4 linked regions of the Canis lupus familiaris genome follow. The protein of the gene in region 4 purifies or fractionates together with the protein of the main gene of each other region. This does not show direct contact. Links are inferred from orthologs where the notes say so. Each region holds a gene or a part of one and is shown on either strand. Other genes may lie near its edges.

Region 1 (7,281 bases), on a different chromosome or scaffold from region 4:
ACATCAAACATATATGGTTGTGTTGGGGGAATGCTACACCTAAGTGTAGCATTTTGTATCTAATATGGAGACTCTAAGTATAATACAACATTTAAACCTCTCTTATTTAAATAATTTGAAACAGTATCACAAAACTCAAGATTCTCCAGCCAGGCACAACCATCAAAACAAAACTACAGGAGCAAACAAGTCATTTATATTTCAGATAATCTATTATTTCATTTTCTTCTCATTGCAATTTTGTTTTTTAGCTGGTCCAGTTCAGATGGCAAGGATGATCCAATTGAAGTATCTAAAGACAGTATATTTGTGAAAATCTTACAGAAACTTTTAAAAGATGGTAAGTGGTTTGTTAATATTGGAAATTGTATCATCGCTCCTCAGTTTTAGAAATCTGAGAATAATGGGTATTGGCTAAGGTGTCAGTGCTAGGGCAGTTTAAACAGTATCATACTCAGAGAAATGTTTTTAAAATGAAGGAAGGGGTTTTTCCTTTCCTCTCCCAGCTGAGGGAGCATGTGCGAAGGTGAAGTCTCCATCCACATAGGTCCCGGGGGACTCCAGTGGGCAAAGTCTCCATGTTGATTCAAGATGGACAAGGAATGGATTCAGATACTGGTTGTGACACCAAAAATCTGTATGATAGAAGTAACCATTTTCTTTTAATTTTTCAGTTAACTCTTGTGAAGATAGAAAACTTGAGATATAAATGAGAAATAACTTTTTGTTATATAACTGACCATACTGTGCTTAAGTACAAATTATAAAATGCTTTTATAAATCCATTTTGGACATTAACACTCTAAAATTCATTTTAGGAACAAATAAAGAGAAACAAGGGAATATGTTTTGTATATGTTTTTTACCTAAAACAGTGAGCAAAACTCCATTTGCTGATTGAGACACAAGTTAAAGGAGCTATTCTAAGGGGGAATATGAAGTAGAGGATACAGTTGACCCTTGAACAATGTGTGGTTGAGGGGTACTGACCCCCAGCACAGTTGAAAATCCACATAAAATTTTTACTCCCTAAAAACTTCACTACTGTTAGCCTGCTATTGACCAGAAGCCTTACCAATAACATAAACAGTTAACACATAACTTTGCATGTGTATTATATACTGTATTCTTACAATAAAAGAAGCTAGAGAAGAGAAATTGCTATTGAGAAAATAATAAGAAGAATACATTTACAGTAGTGTACCGAATCCAAAAAATTTGGAGCTAAGTGGACCCATGCACTTCAAACCTGTGCTGTTCAAAGATCAACTGTAGTTACCTTCACCTTTTTCCATATTACTGAGAACTTAACATATGGAGAGTGTTAGAGATGAGCAGTTTTGCACATTTTATACACATGTGGCTCCTGTTATATCATGTTCTATCAAAATGTGTCATACTAAATTCAGGCCATGTGCAAAATAAGGCTTAGAGTTTACCAGTCTTTGCAAAAAGATAAGGACATTCTTTTGGACCACATGGGAAAAATATACAGTGATAAGTTATTGTAAATTCAGTCCTCCTAAATCGATGGGACTTTAATCCATCATAGTGACATTTACACACATTTGAAAGTTTTCTATATATGTATGTATGTATGTGTATATATATATATATATATATATATATATATATATATATGCAAGAGACATTTTTTAATATACATAAAACATGGCAAACTGAGTCCCTGGTATGTAGTAGTCACTCAACAGATACTTGTCCTTTGAATGCCTACAAGTATTTTGTAGATTCAAAGCCCCAGCTCCTCTGTAATGGATTGTATTCTGCCATCTTGTATTTTAGAATTGCTGGCTTACCCTGGGAAAGTAAAAGGGGGCTCTTGGAAAGGTAGTGTGAAACCAGCCATACCACCCCATATTCGGAGGTGAAACAAAAGCAAACTCTCAACCATTTGTGTGTCAGAAGCTTTTGTTTTACAGCCCATCGGTGGTGGTCTCCTTGCATTCCTTGCTTTTCAGATTTTTAGTCGCCTTTTATAAGTGATCCAGTGAAAATACAGTTCTATGACTAGACAACTTGGAACTTGCCTAGAATTGATATGGATTTTATTTTATTATTATTATTATTTTTAAATATTTATTTTTATTTATTTATTTATGATAGACATAGAGAGAGAGAGGCAGAGACGCAGGCAGAGGGAGAAGCAGGCTCCATGCCGGGAGCCCGATGCGGGACTCGATCCCAGGACTCCAGGATCGCGCCCTGGGCCAAAGGCAGGCGCGAAACCACTGAGCCACCCAGGGATCCCCGATATGGATTTTATTTATGAAAAAGGAATGCTTGATCATCCTACATGACAGATTTAATAGTGCATTCATTTTCAAAGACAAGCAGATAACACAAAGGTTAATCAAGCCTTTTCATTGTTACAAAATAAATAAAAATTAAAAATGAGTTAAGAGATATAGCAAAAGAACCTGACTTTTGCTTGAAAGTATTTGAAATACTTGAAATTCAGAAACAGCTAAAACACCTGTAAGACTTTTTTTCTGTATTTGAAAATGAAGAAATAACTGGATATAGTTGATTTCTCTGTGCTGTTGGAGAGATTTTCCAGTTGGGCCTAATAGATTATTAGAAAGCATTTGGACTCAAATCCAATGTTTTTCATGAAGCTTGTTCTCATAAAAGTGCCACAGAATTGAGTTATTGCTCAGGGTAAGTGTTTAGTGCCTTTTAAAGGTGACTTTGCTCTTTTTGTTATTCTTAGATTATAAATCATAGGTGGGCAGCAGGAATGGAAAGTTGTGGTTTTATAGAAAGAATTACTGAATTGTGACCAAAGGACAAAAAAAAGTAGAAACTATTATGTAAATAAATACATATACACAAATGAAAGATAACAAGAAGGTAGGGACATCTGTCTTTGGAAAATTTTTAATAATACTGTAGAATAATACTATATACAGTAGTAAATGTTTTTAAAGGACAGATCCTGAAGGTAGAGAGATAAATAGCCTCAAATTTTATAGGCTTTGACAGCCAGCAATTAACTTCAGCTTGTGGAATGTATTCATCCAACAGATATGTTTAACTTACCCACATGGAATTTTTTGGTTTGTTTTTATATATTATTGAAGTACATTATACACACAAAATGCACAATCTTTGTTGAAAGTATTTTAATTGTAGTAAATGATCTATAAATATTTTGGATTTAGCCTCATAACATTTATTAATCCAGATTTTTATTATATAACAAGTACAAAAAATGGTGCTAGGCACTTTGAGGGTATTAAAAAAAAAACTCCGTATTTGATTTTGAGAACTTAATGCTAATGTGACAAGTTATATTGTCTTATTGAATTTTTTTCTAGTTTTCTTTATCAAGTGAGAAAATTTTACATGCCTCTTTGTAACTACACAAATCCTGATTCTGGCAGTTCCATTTAATCAATGTTCATTGGCTTTCCAGCTTTATAGAGGACTAATGAAGAAATGATTCTTCTCCTGTCTCATTTCAGACTGTATTTTGAGACACTATAGCTAGCTTTCATGATATTATCTCTGCTAAATTATTTCTCTATATATATAATTGGGTATATATTTAATATATATAATTCTTGAAATACTTGAATATATAATTGTTTGAAATACTTGTTTTCAGGTGATTATTAGTTGAAAACTTCCATTCTGAAGAAATGACTTACGCTATAGAGAAAAATGAAAATATTTCAGATCTTATTTAAAAGACTTTAATCAGATTGGCTGTTTTGACCACTAGGCGGAAAAATACTCAAGCACCCTCCTCTAAGTAAACAATGTCCTGTCGTTAGACCTGCAAGTATGTTTGACAGTGGAAGGAATTTAGAACAGTATTTCCCAATAGTGGAGTGACATTATATTTTAAATAGAAGCACAGATGTTGTTATCATTAATCATCTTAATTCATTTGAGAGTTTTATGAAAATAAAAAAGGACTGTGTGTTTGTGTTTATAGGTATTCAGCTCAGTGAATACTTGCCAGAGGTGAAGGACCTCCTACAAGCAGACCAGCTTGGAAGCTTAAAGTCCAATCCTTACTTTGAGTTTGTTTTGAAAGCAAACTATGAATATTATGTTCTGGGACAAATGTAACTTTTTCTGATAACAGTCACTGTTCCTGGAAATGTACATAACATAAGTCTATCTTTATAAAAATCTTAGGTCTTAAACATCTAAAAATTTGTACAGTTTTATAACGTGTTGCTGAATTTTGTATACTATATTTTAAAGCTGCTACAAAACAGCTGTGTGACTGTAGTTTTGGTTTTTTGTTATAATTTCTCTTATCCTTTTTCCATCTGAAATTTATCACTTGTGATTTCCATGCTTTCTACCCTTTCTTTCTCTCTGTCAAGGGTTCTGGAGTTCTTACTCTGGTTCTGGCTACTTGTATGCACAAAGCACTTCTAGGCCTCATTTCTGTAACTCTAAACATGAACAAGCTTGCACTGTCTCTGAAATTGCTGTAACTTTAGATGGTATATCCTGAAGAGAATCTGGAGTATGTGATGTCTGTTTTGGTTAGGGCTAGTGGGAAAGATGTAGTAAGCTAGATGTGAGATATGCTGACTTGCTGTAGGACTAGAAGACTAAACAAGTGGCAAAATTCATGTGAGCTTGAGAACTGATTAATTCACTGGGAGGATATTAAATATTTCTACATGAATAATAGAGTATTAGAGTAGTGAATAAGACCCTTCAGTGTTTTCTAACCTATCTGTAAGTTACCGTAAGTATACAGTATTAATGTTAGCTACAGTCTTCCAGTGTGGGGAATTCAGTTAACTTCATATATTTTCAAAGTGTTTTACAATGAATTCCAGCTTTACCACAGTCTGACTAATGTAAAGCATGTGTTATGCTAGAAGCCATTATAAGTTTTCTTAAAATGGCATCTGATTTACTGAAAAGTGGTGGTTCTCAAAGCTTCATTGTTCTGACCAATGTCATCACTCAGTTTTTATCAGCTTCAAATAAAGACCAGAGATTGGACAGGGAGTTGCTGGCATTTCAGACTTTGGCCCGGTTGAATGCTCACTAAACAACTTGCTCCAACAGCTGAAAAGGTCAGAAGTTAAATATGGTGAAGAGAGTCCTGTTCCTGGTTTCATAAAGTACAACCATCATGCCCTCTTCTCCTCTAGGCTTCAAATCCAGCCTTTGAACATGGTGGCAAAAACAGGTTAATGGAGCTCATTACATTAATAATGAAAGGAAAGACACTAGCAACCTTGTCTTTTTCTGTTTGCAGCTTGTGCGTTGGACAGCATCAGGGCCCAGGTTAGGAACTTACTGATGGATGCTAAGGGAAGTTAGGAAGAACTTGTCAAATGGTAGCTAAGAAATTGTTAAATTCTTATGTTATAGGACAAGGCTTTGGTTCTACATAGACATTAACAATTTTTGCCTGTATGATCCTTTTAGGTAATAATATGCTCTTGAGGATACAGGATTGTGCCCCCTTCAACATACTGCCACAAATCTAATATCCCTAGTGTGACAGGAAAGCCAGTCTGACAATGACCCTGGCCCCATTGATGGCATGATGTGGCACTACTGCTGTCACAGTATAATGCATAGTCTTAATTTGAGGGAGAGAAAGGCTCACTCTTCTAACTCTATCTTGTAGTCAGCATAGCACCAAAATAGTTGGGTTTTTAAAAATTAGTAATAGTAAAATTAAGGCTTTAAGATTTTAAATAATTTTTCTAAATTTTTAAAAATTTGTTTCACAACAGTCTTTAGCAAAGAATTGATTTTATATAAATTGAGTAATTGATAAAGACATTATAAAAGTGAGCATGTTCTCTAAGGAAAGAGAAATTTTACTGACGTGGGAAAGGTTTTTTTTTTTTTTTTTCACTCACGTTGTGCTGTTCTGAAAGTCACAGCTTGCAGCCTGATTAAATGAAACAATAACATGTTTTTGAAAGTGAGCAGCCAGCTTTGTGTGCTGAATGTTTTAAGAATTTGTGAATGTGTCAAGGATGAAGGCAGAACCAGAGATATACATAAGGGACTTGCTGAAACTCCAGTGAAGAAAAAAGCTATTGATACCCTCTATTGTAGGAATTTCATTTTTGAAGAAAATTTCAAAACTGGATTGTTTGTTTTACTTTGAGGTCTGAACCAGAGTCCTGAAGTGTTATCACCCACCAGGCACATTAGGCCTGCAGGTAAATGGTACAGCGCATTTCTCCTTTGAGGTGGATTTCTTTCTCTAGAAACAGGAACAGAAGGAAAGCCACACTGTAATGCCATCAGACTCACTTCTTATTCTGTTGTAATCCAGCACACTTGTACATTTTGAGGCTGAGGAACTACAAAAATATTAACGTAGTCCCACCTGCTTATTCCTGGACCTTTTACTTGGAGAATGCCTGAAGAGAAAATAGTTTTACTATTTCTACATAAAATCTACTCATTAATACCAAAATATTAAAAATTTTGTGTAATTCTAAAAATTTCTAAAAGATTTTTATTTATTTGACAGTATGAGGTGGGGAGGCAGAGGGAGCAGCAGACTCCCCGCCAAGCAGGGAGCCCAGTGCTAGGCTTGATCCCAGAATCCTGAGATCATGTCCTGAGCTGAAAGCAGACACAGTCCATTGAGCCACTCAGGCACCCTTAATTAATTCTAAAATTAAAAACAAAAACAAAAACCTGTAGAAATGTGTAACGTATTTTTTTCTAAGTATATGGAAGAAGATAAACCCCTGTAATCCCACCAGCTAGAAATAGCTTCAGTTACAGGTTTGAAATGTATATGAGGGACACCTAGCTGGTTCAGTCAGAAGAGCATGCGACTCTTGATCTCAGGATCATGAGTTCGAGCCCCATATTGGATATAGAGATTACTTAAAACTTTTAAAAAGTGAAATGTATCTTAGACTGGGACTGTGCATACTGTGTGTTCTATAACCTAATGTGTATTGTGAGCAACTCCATGTAGCCTTAATCCAGTGTTCCCCAGTCTTTTTCCCATTGTCATTCCTGAGGAGTTTTTAGACCCATTTTGCCCTAATCAGTCCACACACACCCCACCCCCGTGAAAGTTTAATACTGCAGATTAACTATATTTTTTATGTGCTGTGCCTCTGGAGGGCACAGATCATTGTAATATCTAATTTAAATTTTTTTCACACCCCCAAGAAACAATTCTCCCCCCTTTAAAAAACCACATCTTAATTAAATAACCACATCATGAGAGACACAGAAAGAGAAGTAGAGACACAGGCAGAGGGAGAAGCAGGCTCCATGCAGGGAACCCGGCAT
Region 2 (8,182 bases), on a different chromosome or scaffold from region 4:
ATGTAATATCCCTATTCCCCTCTTTGTAGTTTGTTCTTAATTTTGATTTGCTCCTAAAGAGGTAAATCTACGCAGCCAGAAAACATTGAGGTAACTAAATCTTCACATAATCTTTTTTTTTTTTAAGATTTTATTCATTTATTCATGAGACACAGAGAGAGAGAGAGAGGGGCAGAGACACAGGCAGAGGGAGAAGCAGGCTCCATGCAGGGAGCCCAATGTGGGACTCGATCCGGGGTCTCCAGGATCACGTCCTGGTCTGAAGGCGGCGCTAAACCGCTGAGCCACCCGGGCTGCCCCACATAATCTCTTCTATGCCTTTGAAGTTAGAGAAAATGTTGATAGAAAGACTTTCATCACACAAATGATTCAGGGCAGTTGCAGAAACATTTGATAGAACATTTCCAAAATGCTGATCTGAGATCCAGTTTTCAGTTGACTGCGTCACTACTTTGGTGACCTTTAATTCCATATTTATGGCATGGGGTTCAGGGAGAATTATATTTTAAATGCTTTCCCCCAGGTGATTGAAATATGTGGTCAGGCTTTAGAACCATTTGTTGAAAGACCTCAAATGGCATTTAGGCAGAGAGACATATTCGCTTTTTACTTTCACATTTTACTGCACTGTATCTTGTGTTCAGTATGATCAGGACAGAATAGTTGACTTGCTTCAGAAACTCACTATTGCTTACTTGATGAGTACATTAAAATGAATTAGAAATTTGTTTAGAGGGAAGAAGTGATTAGGATTTAGAAGAATTTCTAAATTTCTAAAATAGATACTAGAAGCCTTTTTGTTTTAGATATTAATGTTGCACTGTCCTACACTTCTTGTTGTAATATCCCTGAATATATGTTTAGAAATATACACACTTTGGTGGCCCTTGAAACCCTGACATGAAATTCCTCCTGAGAACACTGTAATGTTGATAGGGTTGATTTTCCAGCCAAATGAATATGAAACATTTTTTGCAGTTAGGAAACCAGTTATTTTGGTAGCAGGCAACAGTAATAGTTATACTAGATAAAACTGAGGGGAAGGACAGTATGAATTATTTAAATATCTGTTTGACCATGGATTGGTTTTTCACCCTTTTTTGAATAAAGGATGTCATGATTTACTTTACCTACTTGAATTACTTTATGTTCTAGATTAAGAGGTGCTTTATTTTCAGGGTTTGGCAGCTTTGTATGAGGAATATTCTCTTGAGGTGGAAAGTGAAGGTTCCTAAAATCATTGAAGGTTTTCTTTTTTTTTTTTTTTTAAGATTTTATTTATTCATGAGAGACACAGAGAGAGAGGCAGAGACATAGACAGAGGGAGAATCAGGCTCCATGCAGGGAGCTCGATGTGGGACTCAATCCTGGGACTCCAGGATCACACGCTGAGCCGAATGCAGATGCTTAACTGCTGAGCCACCCAGGTGTCCCTCATGGAAGGTTTCATTCATGAAACTTCACTCTCCATATATCTAAAGAGACGGTCATTTTACAGATAGTACCTTTGTATGTAGGAATTGTAATATACTGTGCTGGTATTTAGACATAAGTAAGATCAACTTTCAGAGATTATAATATATGAAAGAGATATTCTGTTTGTCTGCTTTTCCCAGTATTTTATTTGCTCTTTTCCATAGATTTCCTAAGGGCTTCCTTTAAAAACAAAACCAAAAAAAAACAACTTCCTTGATCCCTTTTGAGCCATCTTTCTATTATTATTATTATTAGTCTATTTTTCTTTTCAGGACTGGCTTTGAAGAAGCACCTGATCTCCCAAGATTTCTCTGAAAATAAGTACACAGACATCTTTTGGGGGAGTTTATTGCAATTGCTTAGATATACTTTAACAAATTCACTAATGGGGGTCCTAGGAGCTTACTAGTTCCTCATAGTTTCATAGTTTCCCCCTTATCCAGTTATTACATGATACCTCATAGCTTCAAAATCTATGCATGAGGGTGGAGCAAATAAAACCTTGATACTTCTTAAAAATACTCTGGGTCCCTTAGGTCTCTAAGTCGTTTAAGGCAAAATGGGTAGATTTCATCAAATTGTTCTAAGTGAACATCTCTTGCTGCTGTTATTTCTTTGTTGAGTAGTGTAAGTTGAAACCATCCTCCCCTTTTTTCCTTTCCTCCCACCCATCTTCACTCCTTGTTCTTTCATATTATCAATTGCTTTTGCTACTGTGTGCCAGGGATCACACTAGGCAGTAGAATTGATGAAGAGAATATCCGATGAATGTTGACTTTAACAATATGCTTGATAATAGATACAGAGAATAAAAGTAGGCTATAATCTGTTTCCAAGCCTTGACAATGTGGTGGGACAAATAAATACTGCATATGTGAGAAATCATAATATATCATGATAAATTATTAAAAACAGTTTAGACGGGGTATTATAGGAGCCCAACAGACAGAGAGTATCCTCACTGATAGGCTGACACAGAGGATGTGAAGTAGTTTAATAACTTTTCCTAAAAGTGAATTGGTTAAAAACTAACTTGTGAAGGAACCTTTGGAGTTAGAGTGTTCCCACAGTTCTTGTAAGTAAAATAGGAACATTGTGACCAAGTCTACTTTTTTATTTTTTTAAAGTTGAAAAAGTTACATTAATGGCTATTTCTTTGTCCACAGTAACCATGAAATTATTTTTTTAAACTACCTGTTAACATAATAGCATCAATTTGAAGGTCTCTGTGAAATAGGCCACTTATGAAGATAAGCCTCAAACTTTGGAATATTAATAATCTACAGATGATACCATGATAAAAATAATTAGTAAAACTTTTTGATTTTGAGAATGTTTCATAAATTGGTTTAGCCACTTGATACCATTTTATCAGATGTACTATGCAAGTTTAGGATATACTTAATGAATTTGTGCTGAACCAGTTATTTTACAGTGTCCTACAGATTGATGAGTTATTACCTTTCCAGATCATAAACTGTTAGTCATGAGTATATCTTGAAAACTGCTTAATAAATGTAAATCTAATTCTAAGCACTTGAACAAAAGGATTATTCCAAGATTCTATTGTTCCTAGGGGCACCTGGCTGGCTCAGTCAGTAAAGCATGGGACTCTTGATCTTAGGATCAGCAGTTCAAGCCCCCACCTTAGGCATAGAGCTTATTTTAAAAAACAAAACGAAAAAGAAAAACACCAAACAGTTCCTAATATTACTTTGTTTTTCCTTTTGGGAAAATAAACATTGTATCTTATATGGTACTACATATATAGAGCCCAGCTGACTTTTAGGATTCGGTTACCCAAAAAGTAAACTCCAGGCCCCAAATTATGTTCACTGGAAATTTATTTCTAATTGTTTTCATTTTAAAAATGCCAAGTTGTTGGAGACCTTTTAATCTCTTTTCCCAAAGGCTTCTGGCTACAAGGCAGTGTAAGGGCAGGGTTATCCTGTGTATATCAGAAAATTATATTTGCTAGCTAAATCAGGTAAGGCATAATCTTTGTCTAAAGACCACTATTTAAAAAAATAATAATAATAATAAAGACCACTATTTGCTCAGTATGGGGCTTCGGATCCAGACACCAGACCTGCATATATTACAAAAGGGTGATTTCAGGAATCTGTATTTGGACTCCCAAGTACATATAGAGGGGATTTAGGATAATTATTGTTGAAGCCTTTTTAGCAAACATGCTATCTTGCATTGTCGCAGGATCAGCAGAATCTAGTCCTGCTATATCATGTTCTGAATGAACTAAATGTGGTCTAAAAGCTGTCTGTCTGGTGTAATTTAATGCTGCTTCCCTGATCTTTCTGCTGTCTACAGAGCCAGAGCCCAGAGGTGGAGCAGTTAGGGAGGGTTGTGGAGCTGGACAGTGACATGGTAGATATCACCCAGGAGCCAGTTTTGGATTCCATGTTAGAAGAGAGCGTGCCTGAGGATCAGGAGCCCGTGTCTGCCTCAACACACATTGCGTCTTCACTGGGAATTAATCCACATGTCTTACAGGTGAAGTCCTAACCCACCCTTCCTACAACAGGAAGCCAAACTGCTCTTTACCTCCCGTGCATAACCTTGGGCTGCTTCTTTAATTATTGACTGAAGAGCATTGACTGGTCATTGGAATGAGAAAAAAAAAACAAGAATATGGACCATGTTTGGGCCTCATTTTTCCATTCTGGGAGGGAAGGGGAACGTTATATTGAAATTCAGAAGACCTGGATTCCAACCTCGGTTTTGTAACTATTACCATGTGACTTTAGACAAGTCCTTTAACATCTGTGAGCACTGATTTTTCTCTATAAAATATACTTTGTTTCCTCCCTAGGGTGGTTTTGAGGCTCTAGAAAGTGCTCCATAAAAGTTTTCTTAATAAGCTGGTAGATACTGGTTTCTTTAAACTCTATCTCAACTTCCCCCTACCTGTGCCTTTTGGCATGCTATAAGTTTAGCCTTTGTCTTATATTTGAAGTTAATCATTCAGCAAACAGATGGGCAATTGCTGTGTGCCAGGCTTTGGCAAGACTCTAGATACAAAAAGTATTCTATAATTTCTACCCTTCAGGTACATACAGTATAACAGAGTCAGCCACACAAATATACTAGCTCTGGACAGAGCCTGTAGGAAGAGCAGTTTATTGATTATTGGAAACTGCATTTTTCTTTTTTGGCCTTTGGATTTCAGGGAACACATTCATTCTATAGATATTGCCTTTTTAGATCATGAAAGCATCATTGCTTGCTGATGAAGAAGATGTAGATATGGTTCTGGATCAACGCTTCAGTCACCTTCCTTCTAAAGCAGATACTTCTCAAGAAATCTGTTCTCCCAGACTCCCCATTTCAGCATCCCACTCATCAAAATCCCGTTCTTTAGGTACTGTAAATGATGCTATTTTACAAGAAAGCTGTAAAGTCCTGCTTTTCACCTGTCTTCTAAGTTGAGTCAGCTTCTCTAGCGAATATCCCCCTAAAGACATATGATAATAAGGATGTCAAGAGGAGATGTATTCTTAGAAATTTGTTAGGTGGGCCAGTTTTGGGTTTCTTTTTTTTTTTTTTTTTTTTTTAAGATTTTATTTATTCATGGGGGTGGGGGGGGGCAGACACGCAGGCAGAGGGAGAAGCAGGCTCCATGCAGGGAGCATGATGTGGGCCTCAATCCTGGGTCCCCAGGACCATGCCCTTGGCCAAAGGTGGTGCTAAACCGCTGAGCCACCCAGGCTGCCCAGTGGGCCAGTTTTTAAAAGCCATAATCAGCTTTATTGGTGTAGATGAAGAAGTTTTGTGGAACACAAAGCATTTGTGTTTTGTTTGGGTTATGTCTTTATTTGCCTATGAATGTGGATTAGGTAGTAAGCTCAGATTTCCTCATTTTTATCATATTTTAGAGGAATAAGCAAATTGTCCTGCACTGTACTCTTTTTGGGCAATCCTCATGCTATCCTTATTTTATTGCCTTCTGGGGGCAAATGTTGCTTCTTAAAATGCACAGTAACTTGTCAGATTTCTACCTTTTCCTAAATCTCCCTAAATTCCTAGGGAAGTAATATTTGACTTTAAAGCTTTCCCTTCTCGTGGGCTTCTAACTATGTGGAACTGAGGATAGAGGGACTTAAGTACATTTGGATTGGGGGTTTAAGGGATTTAAGTACATTTGGATTGGTTCCTTAAGCCAAGGAAACTACCAGGAAGAGATTTGTCTATGTTGTCTGAAAAACTGTTTAGTTTTCAATTCTTTCAAGTGTTAATTTCCATTTTAAAAATATTGTAACTAATAAACTACCAGTTAAACATTCATTACAACCTTTTCCATAATGGGCACTACATGAAAATCTTATACTTCAATAACTAACTCATTGCTTTAGACAGGATTAGAAAACAGGCAGTAGTAATAAGAACTGTCCTCCAAAACGTGTAAGATGTCTCGGTGGGTTTTTCTTTCATTGAGTCTAGCATTGAGTATTAGAGTGGTAGCAGTTTGAATTTAGATCTTATTAAGCTTTTTCTGTTGACTAAGAAATGGTTACATTTGACATTCTAACAAGGGTATGAACATTGGTGTTAGACTTCCCTGGGCTTCTGTCAGTGCTGCCACTTAATAGCTTTGTGGATTTGGACTAAACACTATTCTGAGCCCAATTTTTCCACCTATTAAATGAGGATAATATTGGTGTCCGTCTGAAGTTATTGAAAGGTGAAATGAAACAGTATATACAAATGGCCTACACAGAGTCACAGATAAGAGCTAAATAATTTTTTAAAATAGTAGTAGTAAAAAAACAAAATAGTAGTAGTAGTGTTTTTGATGTCAATAATTGTTGTTGGGCTCGTTGTCACTAAAATTCCTGCCTTGATTTCTTGGTTGAAAGAGCATTACACACACTGACTTGCTGCTTGTCACCAATATCTGATTTAGTTGGTTTGATAAAGCTGTGATTTCATCCTCACTGATTATTGCTGTTCGAGAAGCAATAGAGACTGTATTTTCTAATAGTCTTTTTTTCCCCCTGTTTCAGTTGGTGGGTTACTACAATCAAAGTTCACTAGTGGATCTTTTCTTTCACCAAGTGCCTCTGTACAAGAATGTCGTACTCCCAGAGCAGCATCTTTGATGAATATCCCATCCACGTCCCCTTGGTCTGTCCCTCCACCCCTGACCTCTGTGTTTACAGTGCCCAGCCCAGCCCCTGAAATTCAATTGAAAACCGTGGGTACACGCAGACAACCAGGCCTAGTTCCTCTTGAAAAGTCTGTTACCTATGGCAAGGGGAAACTCTTGATGGACATGGCCCTATTTATGGGACGCTCATTTCGAGTTGGTTGGGGACCCAATTGGACTCTTGCTAATAGTGGAGAACAGCTGAGTGGCTCACATGAACTGGAAAATCATCAGATTGCTGATTCTATGGAATATGGATTCCTGCCTAATCCAGTAGCTGTTAAATCGTGAGTCACATTTTCCTTATGCTTTTTAAGAAAGGCAACTTAGTTGGTAAGACAAAAACATTTCATTATGAAGTGACCCAAGGTCAAGGCTCTGCTTTGGTGATCTTTCTAGAAATGTTCTTAGTACAGTTTTAGATAGCAGAAGATCTTTGTATAACTAAAAACTAAACTGACAAAACATGAGAGACACCTAACTCTGGGAAATGAACAAGTGGAAGGGGGAGGTGGGCGGGGGGTTAGGGTGACTGGGTAATGGGCACTGAGGGGGCACTTGGCGGGATGAGCACTGGGTGTTATGCTATATGTTGGCAAATTGAACTCCAATAAAAAACATAAAAAAAATTAACTGAAACTGATTAATAAGATGATTCCATTGTACCATCAGGGTATGAAGAGTATATAATACTTCCTTAATGGTTAAACTTTAGTTGAAAATGTAACAGACCCAAAGCTGATACTGCAGCATTCCTTGTTTTTTTTTTTCATCCTTTTTATTGTAAGTCTTTTTTTTTCTTTTTTTTTAAATATATATATATAAGGTATCTTCTTAATTAGGCACAATTCCTATATCTTGGATCTGATAAGGTGAATGTATAAACTGTATAATCTGTACATAAGTATTTGGAAATAAGATGACATCTAATAGGGGCTCCTGGCTGGCTCAGTTGGTAGAGCATACAAACTCTTGATCTCGGCTTTCTGAGTTCAAGCCCCCCCCCCCCCACACACATTTGGTGTAGAGCTTACTTTAAAAAAAAAAAAAAAAAGATGATCATCTGATAACTGTATTATGTTATATATTACTACATAATCCTTATCATTAACATGTGTGTTTATAGTTCTATATACTTTGTCTATGTGTATGAGTGTGCATGTATATGGATCTATATATATCATGCCTATTATGTATAGTTTCTGGTAGTAATTAGGCAGTATGCATACAGTTTTGTGCAAAATATATAACATTTTCGTATTTACTTTTTATAATAAATTGTGCTGTGTCCTTTTTTTTAAGATTTTATTTAAAAAAAAGATTTTATTTATTTATTCATGTGAGACACAGAGAGAGAGAGAGGCAGAGACATAGGCAGAAGGATAAGCAGGCTTCATGCAGGAAGCCCGATGTGGGACTCGACCCCGGGACTCCGGGATCATGCCCTGAGTCAAAGTTAGACTCCCAACTGCTGAGCCACCCAGGCATCCCAAATTGTGCTTTGTTACAGATTAAATGACTGTGATTACCTATTCTTAATTT
Region 3 (8,839 bases), on a different chromosome or scaffold from region 4:
CCTGGGAGGCTCAGTCAGTTAAGCATCTGCCTTCAGCTCAGGTCATGATTCTAGAGTCCTGGGATGGAACACTGGGTTGGGCTCCCTGCTCTGCGAGTCTGCTTCTTCAGCTCCCTAGGCCCCTCCCTCCTTGCATGAGCATGCTTCAGGGCTCTCTCTCTCTCAAATAAACAAATAGCCTAAAAAAAGATAAACTTACAGCTGAAATTTTATATAATCTCAAATTCAAATAAATATTATTTCTATATTATTTTGTACTGCCATTACTCCTAAAACAAAGAATCAAGAGTTGACTAAAATATTTTGGAACAGTGATAAAAAGGCTCTATAATGATAAATTATAAACCACCAACTTGTGGAAATTCCTTATATAACAGCTTCTTGAACAAGCTGATGATGTTCAATGGCTTGTCTCTAATGAGATTTCAACAGACATAAACAGAAAACCTCATGTTTCCAACAATCGAGGACAAACTAAAAATGCTGATAAGCTTTCCCATGAAGTATGAAAAGAGGCCAGACATATTCAAAGAAGGTTCTATTCTAAGCAATTGTCCCTTTGGCAGCTTCTACAGTTCTGCCAAGCTTGAGATCTTTAATACCAAAATATCCCATAAATATTTGGCAACATCAGGGACAACGGTCAACAATAAAATCAAGGAAAATCACGTCGAAAAAAATTTTTTTAACTATAGCACTTCATGGGGGATCCCTGGGTGGCGCAGTGGTTTAGTGCCTGTCTTTGGCCCAGGGCGCGATCCTGGAGACCCGGGATCGAATCCCACGTCGGGCTCCCAGTGCATGGAGCCTGCTTCTCCCTCTGCCTATGTCTATGCCTCTCTCTCTCTCTCTCTCTCTCTCTCTCTCTGTGACTATCATAAATTAAAAAAAAAAAAAACTATATAGCACTTCAAAATTGCATGAACTGCACACCCCATGATTTGCCAAAATTATAAGACTTTCATTAGATCAATCTCCTCTTTATAAAAGAGGAAAATCTCCACATTTGGATAAAGAACATGTCGAAGATTTGCAAAAAAAATCTCTTCAACATTTGCAGAGACTTCTCTTGAAAAGGAGAAAGCAAAATCAAATGTCAAAATGTAGCCTTATCTTGCTACTAGAGGAGTCTGTCACAGGAAGAAAAGATCCATGTCCAAAACCTGAAGGAGCTTAGAGAACAAGGAAGAGCCATTTCACCCTCCAGATCTTTTGTGCTTTGTATCAATAGCCATAAGAATTCATCAAATTCACAATAATACAAAGGTAAGGGCTAGGAGAACTAAGGTTTCACCGTACGGGAGCTACTGTGAAGGGAATTTAGTCATTCTGGTCAAGAATGGGAAAAAACTTGAAATTTTTAAATATGAAGGCACACCACAAAAATTATTAATTTTTTTCCTTAGAGTCAACATCTGCCACATCTCATAAATGAATCAAAATCTTAAACAACTTGGGCAGCCGGGTAGCTCAGCGGTTTAGCGCCACCTTCAGCCCAAATGCCTGATCCTGGAGTCCTGGGATCAAGTCCCGCGTCGGGCTCCCTGCATGGAGTCAGCTTCTCCCTCTGCCTGTGTCTCTGCCTCTCTGTGTGTTTCTCATGAATAAATAAATAAAATCTTTAGAAAAAAAAAAATCTTAACTAAGGTTCCAAAAATGAAAATGGTACAAAGTTTGTTCAACTGCCGCAGTTAGTTAAATCTGAGAGAATAAGGGAAAAAAACCTACCGTTTTTGTTGAAGGAGGTTTCACACACCAGCATCTCCCCTGGACCCCAGTCAAAACACATTTGCTTCATCTTGGAATTCACTCCTGGAATCAACTAGTAAAATAAAGGTACAGACACTGTTATTTTAACTAGAGCCTTTGCTTTCAATTGATTTGCAAGTATAACCCTAGAAATAAATGGTTATGAAAGTTAAGAGCTGATCTATGTATATACAGCTGAGTGTGGTTGAGATCAGCTAGTGTGTTAAACCCTGAATAAGCAAGTGAGCTTTGCCAGGCACCTCAACCCAGCCTGCCACTTTGCAAGTGTTGATATAAAGGAAAGCTGCCCTTAATCAATTACTATATATAATTTAGTAATCTATAGTTTAGAAAAAGAGGATTTTAAAAAAATAAAAAGGATGGGACACCTGGGTAGCTCAGTGGTTGGGCATCTGCCTTTGGCTCAGGGCATGATCCTGGAGTCCCAGGATCGAGTTCCACATTGGGCTCCCTGCATGGAGCCTGCTTCTCCCTCTGCCTATGTCTCTGCCCGCCCCCCCCCCCCCGCCCCGTGTGTGACTATCATAAATAAATAAATTAAAAAAAAATTAAAAAATAAAAAATAAACTCAACTGTTTACTTACTAAAAGGAGCCCTCCAATACCATGTCTTCTGTGCCATCTCTTTAATGAAGACTTTTTCTCCCCAACTCAGATCAACCCCTTTGGGCCTCAGCCTTATATACTCAACTACCTAATTCACACCTTTATAGATTACCTAACCTCTAGAGCTATATCCATAACAACAGAACCAAAAAGGATTCTTGGTGCTCACGTCCAAGTCTCTCCCACCAGGACAAAGCCTTTCCCAAACTGTTAGGAGCAATCTTCGATTCTTCTCTTTTCCTTACGACCTTTGTCTAATCAGTAAATCCCGTTCTACTCTTAAATAAGCCTGAATCCAACCACTTACCAAGTCTAGCAGTCTAACCCAAGTCACCATCAACTCTCATATGACTACAACAGCATTTCTTCAGTGCCTGAAATGACTCTCCTACATGGTTATCTGTCCTATAAATACATAAAAGCTTGCAAGGGGAGGGGATTCCAGGATTCTTGTTCACTGCCTAGAAGAGACCCTGGCACAAAGTTGGCACTCCATAAACATTTTTGCCAGAGAATAAATTTGGCTGGCAATATTCTGGTCTCAAGACAAGTGCAGTCAGTTCTCAGAAAGGGCTAATGCAGTCATCCAACAACTAAGCAATGTCTAGTAAGCCTTTTTCTGTACTGTGCTCTAGAAATACAACAATGTTAGAATACAGTTTCTGCCCTCCAAAAGCTAGTAGTCTACTGAGAAGTCCAATAAACAGGCAGTAAGAAAAGTGGAGCAATGCTAAGACAGAGATAAACACAAAAGAGGATTTTTTAGCAGATTCTTAATGGATGAATAGGCCAGGCAAGGGGGAAGTATTACGCACAGTGGTGCTGAAGGAAATGAGTATCTATATGCAAAAAATAAACCTCACACCATAGACAAAACACAAATTAGACACAAACATAGAGTAAAATCTGTAAAATTGGAAAAGCACAGTAGAAAACCTTTTTGATCTTAAAGAAAAGATAGGACACAAAAAGCACAAACTACAGAACAACTTATAATCCGGGACATCAAAATTAAGCTTTTGCTGTTAAAAAGATAGAATTAAGAAAATGAAAAGGGAAGCCACAGACTGGGATAAAACACGTATTTGATATATAGAATATAAAAAGAAGTCTTACAATTCATTATTTTTAAAAATATGGTACGTGGGATGCCTAGGTGGCTCAACGGTTGGGCATCTGCCTTCAGCCCAGGTCGTGATCCTGGAGTCCCGGGATGGAGTCCCTCATCGGGCTCCCCACAGGGAGCCTGCTTCTCCCTCTGCCTGGGTCCCTGCCTCTCTGTGTCTCTCATGAATAAATAAATAAAATCTTTAAAAAATAATAAATAGGGTAGCCCGGGTGGCTCAGCAGTTTAGTGCCACCTTCCGCCCAGGCCTGTTTCCTATCTGGTCTCCTTAACACCAGTGTGGATCTGAGCTATCACAAGTCCATCATCACTACTGGTGTTAAAAAATAAATTTAGATTGGGGCACCTGAGTGGCTCAGTCCATTAACTGTCTGCTTTTGGCTCAGATCATGTTTTCAGGATCCTAAGATCAAGCCCTGTGTCAGGCTCCCTGCTCTGTGGGGAGCTTGCTTCTTTTTCCCTCCCTCCCTCCCTCCCTCCCTCCCTCCCTCCCTCCCCACCCCCTTCTCTCTCTCTCTGCTCCTTTACCTGCTTGTGCTCTCTGAAATAAAATCTTTTGCTTTTAAATGAATAAAATCTTAAAAAAAAAAAAAGCTTAGATCATCTTCATTTAATTTGTAAAGCATAGCTAATTATCATGGCTCAATATTAACGTAGTGGCTCCCCAGGATTGTGCAGGTTACTGGAAAAGTGCCCCCATCCAAAGATTCTGACATAAGTGGAGGAGAGAAAGGCAAGATGACACATAGTCTGAAAACGTTCCAGTGATTCTGATATTCTGATTTTTCTTCCAACTGACACTGACATAGCCCTTGATATGTAATAAAGTACTTTATATAGGTCTTAAAAATTTAACACTTAACAGCAGTAAGTTTTATAGAGTAACAACAACCCAAGTTAACTGCTATTTATGATCTCGTGTCTCCTTTTGTCCAGTTAGCTTTGAAACGACCCCCACCTTTAATCTTTGGTTTTTGTCAGACACCCTTTTGCCACCTGATGGCTTTCGCTGAAAACTGCAGGCAACTCAACCTTCTAAAAAGCAAAAATACAAGATCAGACAACCTGCAATTTAGTGAGGCTTATAACTGACCAAGAGCTAAGAGGTGCAGAACAAGTCAATAACGGACTAATATTTGACCTAGTCAGGGAGGTAGGGGGAAGGCTTTCTTGAGAAAGAGGGTGCTGGTTCTTGAATCTGAAAAATGAGGAGATAAACCTGAGAGAAAAAGAAAGTGTGTTCCAGAATGGTAGGTATCTCCTATTGAAAAAGCCACGAATCTCTTTTCAAACATTATAAATTAGGGATCCCTGAGTGGCTCAGTGGTTTAGCTCCTGCCTTCAGCCGAGGGCGTGGTCCTGGGGTTCTGGGATCGAATCCCTCATGGGGCTCCCTGCACGGAGCCTGCTTCTCCCCCTGCCTGGGTCTCTGCCTCTCTTTGCCTCTCATGAATAAATAAAATGTTTAAAGAAAATCATAGATCATTCACATTTGACACTCTTCTTAAAGTCCAGACAGAACTAAAAGCGAACAGAACAAGAAGAACAAGAAATCTTCCGAAGTGAGTAAAAACTTTTAGTAAACCCTGGCCAGCACGGCACAAGAGGCAGAAGCCAAGCTCACGGTATTGAGATGCGAAGCTTAGTTCTGCGGAAGAAAAAAAGCCCCAGTTCCTCTGCTCGGTCGGTGCCCGCTCACTAGAGCGCTAGTCCAATAGGAAAAGCGAGGGAAGTGGGATGGGAAAGTCAGGAAGACACGAAAGGGTGAGGGAGCGAGGCCTCCGAGCCAGGCATTTCTGAGTAAACGAAAATGTGGGGAAACAGCGACCACTGCGACCCAAACACGAGCACCTAGCTAATGGGACCTCCGAACTGTGGCAGCGAAGCTGAGGGAGGAGGCCGGGAGCCTCGCGGGAGGTGGAAGCAGACACAACCCTCACACCGCGAAGACGAGGCCGGTGCGAGGCGCCCTTACCGTGACGGTAGGCTCGCCGTCGAGTTCCTCCATTGCGCCTCGCCTCAGCAGCCTGGAACGAGCTCGGCCGCCGAAGCTCCCGGCTCAGGCCTCCCGCTCACAGCCGGCTGCGAGAGAGGACCCCCTCCCGGGCGCCTCCCGCACTGCCTGCAGGCCCAAACCCCCGGCGCGGCAGGGGCCCCTCCTCTCGGCCACGATCCTCCCTCCGCGACACTCTACACGTGCCCCTCCTTCATGGCGGGCGACAACACGACAGGGAAAACAGCGCCGGGGTAGCCGGTCCTCACAGTAACCTTCGGCCAGGTCAGGCGCCGCCGCGGGCAGCCCGGCACCGGCCGGGGTAAAGGCCCCCGGAGACGGCGGGAGCCGCGGAGCGACTGCGACTGCGCCTGCGCGAGCTGAGTCGGCTGCTCTGGGGCCGGAGGCGAGTGCAGTGCCTGGCTCCCGAGTGAGCGAGCCCGTGGCGTCGCCTGACTCTAGCTCTTCTCGTTCCTGTCTGGTCTGCAAGTTCGGCGCAGCTGCTTCTCTGAACGGTATCCGGTCCTTGCCCAATCCCCGTCGGCCCACTGGGCTTGTGCATCCAGGCGGTCGTCGCCACTCCCGCCCTAAAACGCTCGAAAGCACGCGTACAAAATTGATGCGGCCGAAACAACTGTGAAATCGAGACAGCTGGGCTTAATGAAATACAAATACTGGTTTGTTATCTCACCAAAGCAAAGGAGAAAAGGACACTCAAACCACGGAATCCCAGACCTTTGTTATGGAAAACTCAGAAGTGTCCCGGTTGTTTAAAGGAGTGATTGATTTTGTGAATACCGTATTAGCAAATACATACACAGGGAAGAAAATAGGACTGGTTCTAAATTCCCAAATAAGCGACTTTTTGATCGAATTGAAGATAAATCCAAATTTAAAGGTAAGTCTTAGGAAAAACTGCCTGAAGATGTGGCAGCTGCTTTAACTTAGAAATTTGATCTGAAAACAAGACATAATTCTAAAACGCTCCCTTCCCGGAGGTTCTTCTAAGCGGCCTATTTGAATTGGAAGAAAAAGACGACTTGGAGTGGTTGGGAAAAACACTGTCACCCAGATAGTTTATTATATTGAGGTACAGATTAAGCAAAGGAAAAAAAAAAAATCCCGGTCTCTGAAGACAGCTATCCATAGGATGAACTTTAATGTAGTTTTGCACAAAATTCCACAGTTCTACCTACTATGTCTTGATGCATTTTCCAAATGTTTCACAGAGTTACACTGATTTGAGTGTTTCTAACATCAGTGCTGTGGTTATGATGTCTGAGAAAAGCATTCATGTCCATTTCCTGGGAGTAAAAAGAGGCCTAATATTTTCTGAAAAGTAAAATGAACATTCAAGGGGGTGCCTGGCTGACTCTGTCAGTAAAGCCTGCAGCTCTTTTTTTTTTTATTTTTTTTTATTTTTTAACATGTGACTCTTGATCACACTGGGTGTCGAGCTTACTTAAAAATCAAATATTGAGGCCCCTGGGTGGCAAAATGGGTTAAGTGTCAGACTCTTGATTTTGGTCAGGTCATAATTTCAGGATCGGAAGATCAAGCCCTACGTTGGGCTCTGCACTTAGCATGGAGCCTGCTTAAGATTCTCTCTCCCTCTTCCTCTGCCTCCCCTACCATGCTCAGTCTCTCCCTCTCTCTCTCCCCCCAAAAAAATAAAAATTAAAAATGATAATAATTAAATATTTTTAAAAATGAAAAGTAAACATTCAATAGCAAATCAGTTTTAAAAACTGAGGGCAGGGATCCCTGGGTGGCGCAGCGGTTTAGCGCCTGCCTTTGGCCTAGGGCGCGATCCTGGAGACCCGGGATCGAATCCCACATCGGGCTCCTGGTGCATGGAGCCTGCTTCTCCCTCTGCCTATGTCTCTGCCTCTCTCTCTCTCTCTCTCCCTGTGACTATCATAAATTAAAAAAAAAAAAAAAAAAAAATTTAAAAACTGAGGGCAGCCCCAGTGGCTCAGCGGTTTGGCGCCGCCTTCAGCCCAGGGTGGGATCCTGGAGACCAGGGATCAAGTCCCACATCGGGCTCCCTGCATGGAGCCTGCTTCTCCCTCTGCCTGTGTCTCTGCCTCTCTCTATGTCTCATGAATGAATAAATAAAATCTTAAAAAAAAAAAAAAACTGGTTACCGTATCTGCTCTGGCTATTCAAAATTCTCCCAGCAGCAGAAGTTAAAAGTCAGACTTAATAAGACATTGATAGAAATCATGCCTAATTTCCTTCAGAAAAAATTATTCTAGGGAGTAGGATGAGGAGAAAGAAAAAAATAATAGGATAAAAGACCAAAAAGAAAGACACCTTTCTCAAAGAGAGACCTGAGGGGGGAAAAAAAAAAAAAAACTATTTGAATGACAAAAGACCTTGGAGAATTTTAGTACTACAGTTTCTTCATATTTTAAGATTGCCATTTGAAAGGGTGCTTGGCTGGCTCTGTCGGTAGAGCATATGACTCTTGATCTTGAGGTTGTGAGTTCACCCTCATGTTGAGTATGGAGATTACTTAAAGATTAAAAAAACAAGTAAAAAGTCAACTCTCATTTGAAAATAACAGGCACTGAAATTGTCTGACGTAGAGCTAGATAATACTGGGGGAAAGTATTGGAAACATATTTTAGCCTAAGAGCAAAAAGTTATTCTATCTATGGATCTTTTTCTTCCTCCTAGCCCCTCTCAATGTGCTTCCAAGAATGAGGTTTAATTACATAGTTTACATATTCTCTTTTTCTTACATATAATCATAAATGAATACTTTTGGAAAAACAATCAATATACAAATCTTTATGTCTTCATCCTTCTCAGGCTCCTCCTTTCCTTATATTCCTTGGTTTAACTCCTAAATTCCTGTATCTAGACTGAAGAGTCTCATTTATGCAAGAGAAACTTCAACCTGAGATATATCAGAACCCAAGGAAGACAATAAAATATTTCTGGAATCAAAATCTCCTAAAACAAAACATACTTATTGTACAAAAGTCCCAACTAAAAATCATTTTCAGTCACTCCAAAGTCAAACTAAGAATCATTCTCAGGAACGCCTGGGTGGCGCAGCGGTTTTGTGCCTGCCTTTGGCCCAGGGCTCGATCCTGGAGACCCGGGATCGAATCCCACGTCGGGCTCCCGGTGCATGGAGCCTGCTTCTCCCTCTGCCTCTCTCTCTCTCTCTCTCTCTGTGACTATCATAAAAAAAAAAAAAAAAAAAAAAAAGCCTGGGGATCCCTGGGCGGCTCAGCGGTTTAGCGCCTGCCTTGGGCCTAGGGCGTGATCCTGGAGTCCCAGGATCCAGTCCTGCATCGGGCTGGGCTCCCTGCATGGAGCCTGCTTCTCCCT
Region 4 (8,182 bases):
CAGAGCCCTATGTCACTGGCTATATTCCTTTTCCTATTTCTTCCTGAACATGATTTAAAACACTATTTCGAGTATAGAAGTAGTTTGCCTGTTTCTCTTAACACAGATGTGAAGAGCTGAGATTTGTTTAAGGAACTTTAAAAATATATAAGAATGTACCACATATAAATAATTCAGTTTACAAGATATAAATTTGAGATCTTAGTAATCCTACCAAGGTAAATAACAAAAATTTTCTAGCCCTGAAGAGCTGGTATGCCTTTCTTTTGTTATCTTGCTTCTCTTCCACTTCATTCCATATATGAGATCCCACGGTTTTGTTTTGCCATGCAAAACTTTATTTTCCTGGGATCTATATTAAAAAAAAATCACCGTATCTTATTTTAAATACCTAGTAATCTGACTGTTCTATTCTATTTTCTTGTTGGGGGACATATTGACTGCACAGCTAATTTATGCAGCACTGGTAATTGATACCCATTGAGCCCTAGTCAATGAGCTGGCTCATTCAAGCCTATTTTACTGGTGTCACCCACTTCTGGAATATTCTGTGATATTTCATTTAGATGAGTTACTTCGTCTCTCTTAGGAAATAGTTATGCCGAAGTCCACTTACTACTTCAGTATCTTACCTACAATGTCTAGTTTTCAACCCAAAATTACTAGACATGTAAAAAAATAAGAAAGTATGACCATTACTCAAGAAAAGAATTAGTCAATAGAAACTGACTCTTGACTGGGCCCAGATGTTGATGTAGCAAAGACTTCAAAGCAGCTTTTATAAATATGTTCAAAGAATTGACATATGGCATCAGTTAACAAACCTGCAATTTTAGGACATAACATAAACTACACAATAAAAATAATGGAAATTCTAAAGTTGAAAAGTACAGTTGCTGAAATAAAAAATTTACTAGATAAGTTTACCAGCAGATTGGAAATGTCAAATGATTCAGTGACTCTGAACCTAGATCAATAGAAACTACTAAATCAGGTGACTCCTACTTTGTTAGAGAGCAGATTAGTAATTGCCTAGGTCGGGGCAATAAGGGATGGAGTGCAAATGAATATAAGAAAACTTGGCTACAATGGAAACATTTCATATCTTGATGTTAGTGGCTATTTGATCTTTAAATGCATCTTTATAAACTTATCAAATTATACATTTTAAATGGATATAATTTATTCATAGATTGTAACTTAAATGGTTGATGAAAAAATAAATACTGAAAGGCTTGTAAAGAAAAATAGTATTCTTCCTACCTCTTCCTAATTTCTTCCTGCCTTTACCCCTAGTCTGGCTTCTCATATAATGTCTCACTCTATTTTTTGTGTTCTACTATGTTTCTAGATAATATGCTTAGGTTGCTATTACTGATCGGTATACTATTTTGATGTGCATTGACTTCTTATTCAGTAAAAGAAGGTTTAATTTTTATACCAACATTACCCTTCATCTTCTGATATATAAATATCACTATTTTTAGTTATACTGAAAAATCAAATTTAACATTATTATGATTTAGTATTATATACCTAAAACTAAATAGTATATTCTAATTATGCTTCCTTTTTTGAGTTTTTCCTTCCCATAGATTCCTAATTTCTTTGTTTGCTTTTTTAACTAAAAGACCTTCTTTAGGGCAGCCCTGGTGGCTCAGTGGTTTAGTGCTGCCTTCAGCCCAGGGTGTGATCCTGGAGACCCGGGATCGAGTCCCATGTCGGGCTTCCTGCATGGAACCTGCTTTTCCCTCTGCCTGTGTCTCTGCCTCTCTCTCTCTCTCTCTCTCTCTCTCTCTCTCTCTGTGTCTCTCATGAATAAATAAATAAAATCTTCAAGAAAAAAAAGACCTGCTTTAGTAGTTCTTTCAATGAAAATTTGTAGATTGTAACCTTTCTTAGTCTTTCTATTGCCTGAAATATCCTTATTCTGATGTGACAGGTTACCAGGATATAAAATTGATAAAGGTTAACACTTTTTTCTTCCTATAGCATTTTGAACATAATCCATTGCCTACTGACCTTTCTTCTTTTTAATGAAAAGTCTCCTATCATTCTCATAGTTCCTTGTGGAATTTCCTATTCACTTAGTCTCAGGACTGTATATTTATTGTCTGAAGAAATTCTTTCCCACTTTCCTTTTTTTCCCTTAAAATGAATGATCTTTATCTTTAGCCTAGACAGATTTTGCTCTTTTTCATGTCTTTGCTTTTGCTTATTGTTATTCCCCTTTCTAGATTGCTTTCCTGCTTTTTGTCCTTTAGGGTTGCTATTCATTAGTTCCTTGAACATATGATTCAGAACTTTACATTTATTTATAGCAAAAAGCTCTTGATCACCTTGCTCTATTCTGAAGTCCTTTCCTTTGAATTTCATTAAAACACTTTAAGGGATTTGATAAACACAAAAATAAGGTTTTTGTCTTTTTTCTAGGCTATTGTAATTTGATTACTGATTTAACATTTGTCTTTACTGTAATCATTGTTATTAGTAACTGATGTTTGTTATGTAGTTTATAAAAATATTAGAAGCAATGAGATTTGAACATTTGAAATCCTGTAGTTTATGTAGAAGTGCAATACAGATAAGTCAGGTATACTTCTAGGTTTAATTGATGGTGTTTCATATGTTTATCTACATACATACAGCATGCAGAATACTTGGCATATTAAACACCACATCTTTATACCCCTTAAATTAAAAATGATTATTTCTAGAAACTCTTTTGGTGGGCACAGACTGTGGACTTTCATACTATTTTACAGTCTTAATTTGGAACCAAGGTAGTACAGTACTCCTCCACCCCATACAACATAACTCTAATCCTTTACTGCATTTTGTTTCTTGACAATATTTGGGAACTTCGTTTGGTAATCTTTTTATATCCTCTTCCTGTTCCCACAAATAAACATGTTTTTTCTTATTACAAATACATATTCCTTATAAGAAAATCAAAATAATACATCAGGAAAAGGAAAAACATAAATAACTATAGTCTTGTCTACCAAAGTGATAACCCTGATGAACATTTAAGTAGATATTCTAATTAATATCTTATTTTGAAATATTGCTAATGTAAAAAATAGTTTTGCAAATTTGAATCCATCTTTATTTTATATTATTTAGCCACAGTTTTCTAACCATGATGGTTTTACTTTTTCCTTGATAGAAAGTGGAGCTGTTCCAAAGAGAAAAGATCCCTTAACACACACTAGTAATTCACTGCCTCGTTCAAAAACAGTTATGAAGACTGGATCCACAGGTTTGTCAGGCCACCACAGAGCACCTAGTTGTAGTGGCTTATCCATGGTTTCTGGAGTGAGACAGGGACCTGGTCCTGTAACTGGAACTCATAAGGTATTTGGAGACAGTCACTTTTAATTGCTATGCTTTTGCAAATAGACAATTTTGAACACGATATGCTTGCTTGAGATTATTAGAAGTAATTTGTAATATCTTAGAGAATTGATAAGTTTCTAGAAAGTTGAATATAGTTTTCTTTTTTAAATCTGCAAAGAATTTGCTATTAAAATCAAATCTTATTTTAACTTCCTTGGACCTAATTAGGTATTTTGTTATAAGTTGCTTGTCTAATCTATTTTATATAATGCTGTATAGTTAATTTTAAATTTGTTATTTTAATTGTTTAATGTGTTTTATAACATTAAACATAGAGTTTTGTTCGAATCCTAACAATCAAAATTATATGACTGAATTGTCAGAGGCCCTTTTTATTTTATGGTACCTAAATCTCTCTGGATGAAATCCCCTATAAACCCACTTCATGCCAAATGTAGTTCTGTAGTGAATACATTTTACCTTGAAGTGGATATACAATTTTGGGGTTTTTTAATATCCTTTTTCCTATATTTAAAACTTTTAATTCTGTGAATTTTAAGGCCAATTTTAACTTACTTATGACAAGTGTTAATGTTAGGTTGTATTTTTACATTGCAATTTTGTGTCCTTTAAGAGTACGCCAAAAACAAATAGAACAAATAAGCCTTCTACCCCTACAACTGCTGCTCGTAAAAAGAAAGACTTGAAGAATTTTAGGAATGTGGACAGCAATCTTGCTAACCTTATAATGAACGAAATTGTGGACAAGTAAGTTTTTGCCATCTAAAGTGTTTTATTTAACAGTTTTTAGTTTTGAATTTATCTATACAATATATCATGAGTAAGATAGAGTATCTTCTCTAATGTACATAATTTTTATGGTGGTTTTTAGTTACTGTAAATGTAGAAAACTATGGTTTTACTAATTAAACTATAATTTCACAGTTAACATAAAAATAATTGTATTTCAAAAAAATAATTGTATTTCATTAAGTTTAAATTTTATATTATAATAACTGAATCATATTTTGTCATAGAGCTAACTGAAATTCTATTTCTTAGTGGAACAGCTGTTAAATTTGATGATATAGCTGGGCAAGAATTGGCAAAACAAGCCTTGCAAGAAATTGTTATTCTTCCTTCTCTGAGGCCTGAGGTAAACACTTTATATTACCATTTTCCTTTTTTTTTTTTATAAATTTTTTTAAATTTTTATTTATTTATGATAGTCACACAGAGAGAGAGAGAGAGAGAGAGGCAGAGACACAGGCAGAGGGAAAAGCAGGCTCTATGCACCGGGAGCCCGACGTGGGATTCGATGCCGGGTCTCCAGGATCGCGCCCTGGGCCAAAGGCAGGCGCTAAACCGCTGCGCCACCCAGGGATCCCCTATTACCATTTTCCTATAACATCATTCATTATTTTTTTTTCAGCATTCATTATTGAATCCATATTAGCAGTAATCTGTGAGTTACACTAGATAGAAATGATTAATGGATGTAACAGACTGGATGTTTTTAAAAAGAAAGAAATATTAGCAATTGATGCTGACTGGTTATTATAGGAGTGACTATATAGGTTCCTAATAACCAATCCATTTTTAACATTTAGAGAAAAAAGTAGGTAATAGAAAATAAGTTTTACATTAAGGTAAGAGAGATTTAAAATTATGAGCCAGAAATCATACTGGAGAAAAGGGAAGTTAGGATTAAATTAATAAGTTTAAGTTTGAAGAATTTTATCAAAGTATAGTTGAAATACAATGTTATAGGAGTTGCTGGTGTATAACATAATGATTTGACAATTCTGTACATTAAGTTATACTCACTATATGATAAGTATAGTTAACCATATGTCACCGTACAATATTACTGCAATATTATTATTTTTTTGATTATTTATTTATTTATTCATGAGAGAGAGAATGAGAGGCAGAGACACAGGCAGAGGGAGAAGCAGGCTCCATGCAGGGAGCCTGATGTGGGACTCAATCTTGGGTCTCCAGGATCACACCCTAGGCTGATGGCAGCGCTAAACCGCTGAGCCACCCGGGCTGCGCCTGTAATATTACTGACTATAGTTCCCATGTTGTACTTTTCATCCCCATGAATTATTATTTTGTAACTAGAGATTTGTATCTCTTAATTCCCTTCACCTATTTTGCTTGTCCCTTTAGCTCCCTCCCCTCTGGCAACCACCAGTTCTCTGTTTTTATGATTTTGTTTCCATTTTGTTTGTTCTGATCATAACAATAAAAACAACAAAATGGTAATTATGTGAGGAAAAGGATGTATTAACCTCATTGTGGTAAATATTTCACAATTTATTTGTGTGTCAAATTATATTGCACATGTTAAAATTACACAATGTTATATCTCAATAAAGCTGGAAATTTTTAAAAACCAAAAAATGCTGAGTAATTAGAAATGTGTCTTTGGCAAAAGAAAGACAAATAGATCAGTAGAACAGAATAGAGAGCCCAGAAATACAGAGACACAAGTATTATCAATTGAAAAAGGCACAAAAGCAATTTGATGGAGAAAGGATAGTATTTTCCACAAAACAACAACTAAACATCCATGTGAAAAAAAGTTCTAGACATATACTTTACACCTTTCACAAAAGTTAATTCAAAATTGGTCACAGACCTAGATGTAGAAGGCTAACTATAAAACTCCTAGAAGATAACATAGGAAAAAATCTAGGTGATCTTGGTTTGAGGATGGCTTATTAGATACAACACCAAAAACATGATCCTTGAAAGAAAAAGTTGTTAAGTTGAAATTCATGAAAATTAAACACTTTTCTGTGAAAGACATTTTTTTTTTTTAGATTTTATTATTCATGACAGACATAGAGAGAGAGGCAGAGACACAGGCAGAGGGAGAAGCAGAGACACAAGCAGAGGGAGAAGCAGGCTCCATGCAGGGAGCCCGATGTGGGACTCGATCCCAGGACTCCAGGATCACACCTTGGGCCAAAGGCAAGTGGCTAAACCGCTGAGCCACCCAGGGATCCCCTGTGAAAGACATTGTTAAGAGAATGAGAAGACAAACCACAGACAAGGAGAAAGTCTTTGCAAAACATTATTTGATATAGGACTGGTATTGAAAAATATACAAAGAACTTTTAAAACTTGAACAATAAAGAAGAAAAATGACCCAGGTAAAGTGTGGACAAAAAATATGAACAGACACTTTACCAAAGAAGATACACAGATGACAAATAAGCATTTGAAAAAATAGGGAAGCCTGGGTGGCTCGGTGGTTTGGTGCCTGTCTTCAGCCCAGAGCGTGATCCTGGAGATACGGGATCGAGTCCCACATCAGGCTCCCTGAATGGAGCCTGCTTCTCTCTCTGCTTGTGTCTCTGCCTCTCTGTGTCTCTCATGAATAAATAAATAAAAATAAAATCTTAAAAAAAAAGAATGCTCAACATCATTCATCATTAGGGAATTACATGTTAAACAACAGTAGGATTCCACCTCACATTTATTAAAATGGCTACAATCCAAAACACAGTACCAAATGCCGGTGTGGATGTGGAGCAATAGGGACTCTACTCATTACTGAAGGGAAGGCAAAATGGTACAGCTACTTTGGAAGACGGTATGACACTTTAATTTTTTTTTTAATTTTTTAAATTTTTATTTATTTATTTTTTTAATTTGAGAGAGAGAGTGCGCATGAGAGCAAGCATGAGCAGAGGGGGAGGGCAGAAGGAGAGGGGAAAGCAGACTCCCCACTGAGCGAAGAGCCTGACATGGGCCCCAGGATCATGACCTGAGCTGAAGGGAGATGCTTAACTGACTGAGCCATCCAGGTGCCCCAACACTTTTCTTAACAAGCAAGCACTTGGTTTTACCTCACTCCACTGAGGAATTTACCACACTTTGTCAGATCTCCCTCTGCAAAATTTTGTGTCTTCTGTTGTCTCCTTTCTTATTCTTTTAGAAGATTTATATTTTCTTTATTCATTTACTATTATTTTGGTGAGATTTCAAAGGAAGTAGAGAAGCATACCTATGTTTAGTATGTCTTTGTTTAGCTAATTTGCTTTCTTTTCTCAGTGAAATTTTTAAAAATTTTGTTTTCTTAATAATTATACCAATTTATTGATTACGTGCTCTCTTCAGAGCTCTGACAAGTTCTGTTTGGGAGGATGCTACAGAAAAATGGTGCTTTTTAGATAACAGTACTTAAAGTGTCTGGAAAAAAAGTCTCCAGAATTATAGTTGTGAACTAAAGTAAATGTTTTTAGTTGTTCACAGGGCTTAGAGCTCCTGCCAGAGGATTGTTACTCTTTGGTCCACCTGGAAATGGGAAAACAATGCTGGTAAGAATTCTTTTAAAATTTGAGAGTTCTATTTAGATAATTAGAAATAGTGATATGAAAAAAAGAAACTTTACATTGTCCCTGAATTATTTTTAGAATTTGCTTTTTACTCTAATATACTTGTTTTGTTTTTTAAGATTTGATTTACTCATTCATGAGAGACAGAGAGAGAGGCAGAGACATAGGCAGAGAGAAGCAGGCTCCATGCAGGAAGTCCGATGTAGGATTCAATCCCAGGACGCCAGGATCATGCCCTGAGCCAAAGGCAAATGCTCAACTATTGAGCTACTCAGGTGCCCCTTTTTTCAGTACATTGAAAACAATGTATTTTTGCCCAAATTTTTACTGGGATCTGGATACCTTTCTCCCGCATAACTATTCTAGAGGGGAAAAGTAAGCAGGAAAAGAGTTTAGCTGTTTCTCTCTCTCTCTCCAAACAGTTATCTTTCTATAATTAAGAAGAGACTTACACCCTTTTTGTAACCTCTCCTTATCCATTCTGCCTTAGA

The links.
Region 1: the proteins of SPAST (region 4) and NUP133 purify together in Homo sapiens (affinity purification with mass spectrometry; 3 studies listed by BioGRID and IntAct, counting the BioPlex papers as one, with this or other methods). This does not show direct contact. The link is inferred for Canis lupus familiaris from reciprocal best matches to the Homo sapiens genes SPAST and NUP133.
Region 2: the proteins of SPAST (region 4) and NUP98 purify together in Homo sapiens (affinity purification with mass spectrometry; 3 studies listed by BioGRID and IntAct, counting the BioPlex papers as one, with this or other methods). This does not show direct contact. The link is inferred for Canis lupus familiaris from reciprocal best matches to the Homo sapiens genes SPAST and NUP98.
Region 3: the proteins of SPAST (region 4) and NUP85 purify together in Homo sapiens (affinity purification with mass spectrometry; 3 studies listed by BioGRID and IntAct, counting the BioPlex papers as one, with this or other methods). This does not show direct contact. The link is inferred for Canis lupus familiaris from reciprocal best matches to the Homo sapiens genes SPAST and NUP85.

Annotation. Positions count from the first base shown.
Region 1 is NC_049225.1:10,201,999-10,209,279, forward strand, and holds the end of NUP133 (nuclear pore complex protein Nup133), read left to right. Parts: intron 1-251; coding exon 252-340; intron 341-3,961; coding exon 3,962-4,098; 3' UTR 4,099-5,004; downstream 5,005-7,281. UniProt on the Homo sapiens protein: Involved in poly(A)+ RNA transport. Involved in nephrogenesis.
Region 2 is NC_049242.1:26,382,794-26,390,975, reverse strand, and holds part of NUP98 (nuclear pore complex protein Nup98-Nup96), read left to right. Parts: intron 1-3,804; coding exon 3,805-3,987; intron 3,988-4,698; coding exon 4,699-4,855; intron 4,856-6,497; coding exon 6,498-6,927; intron 6,928-8,182. UniProt on the Homo sapiens protein: Plays a role in the nuclear pore complex (NPC) assembly and/or maintenance. NUP98 and NUP96 are involved in the bidirectional transport across the NPC. May anchor NUP153 and TPR to the NPC.
Region 3 is NC_049230.1:6,158,855-6,167,693, forward strand, and holds the start of NUP85 (nuclear pore complex protein Nup85), read right to left. Parts: upstream 5,765-8,839; 5' UTR 5,510-5,764; coding exon 5,477-5,509; intron 1,823-5,476; coding exon 1,729-1,822; intron 1-1,728. UniProt on the Homo sapiens protein: Essential component of the nuclear pore complex (NPC) that seems to be required for NPC assembly and maintenance. As part of the NPC Nup107-160 subcomplex plays a role in RNA export and in tethering NUP96/Nup98 and NUP153 to the nucleus.
Region 4 is NC_049238.1:25,455,695-25,463,876, forward strand, and holds part of SPAST (spastin), read left to right. Parts: intron 1-3,169; coding exon 3,170-3,357; intron 3,358-3,973; coding exon 3,974-4,107; intron 4,108-4,401; coding exon 4,402-4,495; intron 4,496-7,598; coding exon 7,599-7,673; intron 7,674-8,182. UniProt on the Homo sapiens protein: ATP-dependent microtubule severing protein that specifically recognizes and cuts microtubules that are polyglutamylated.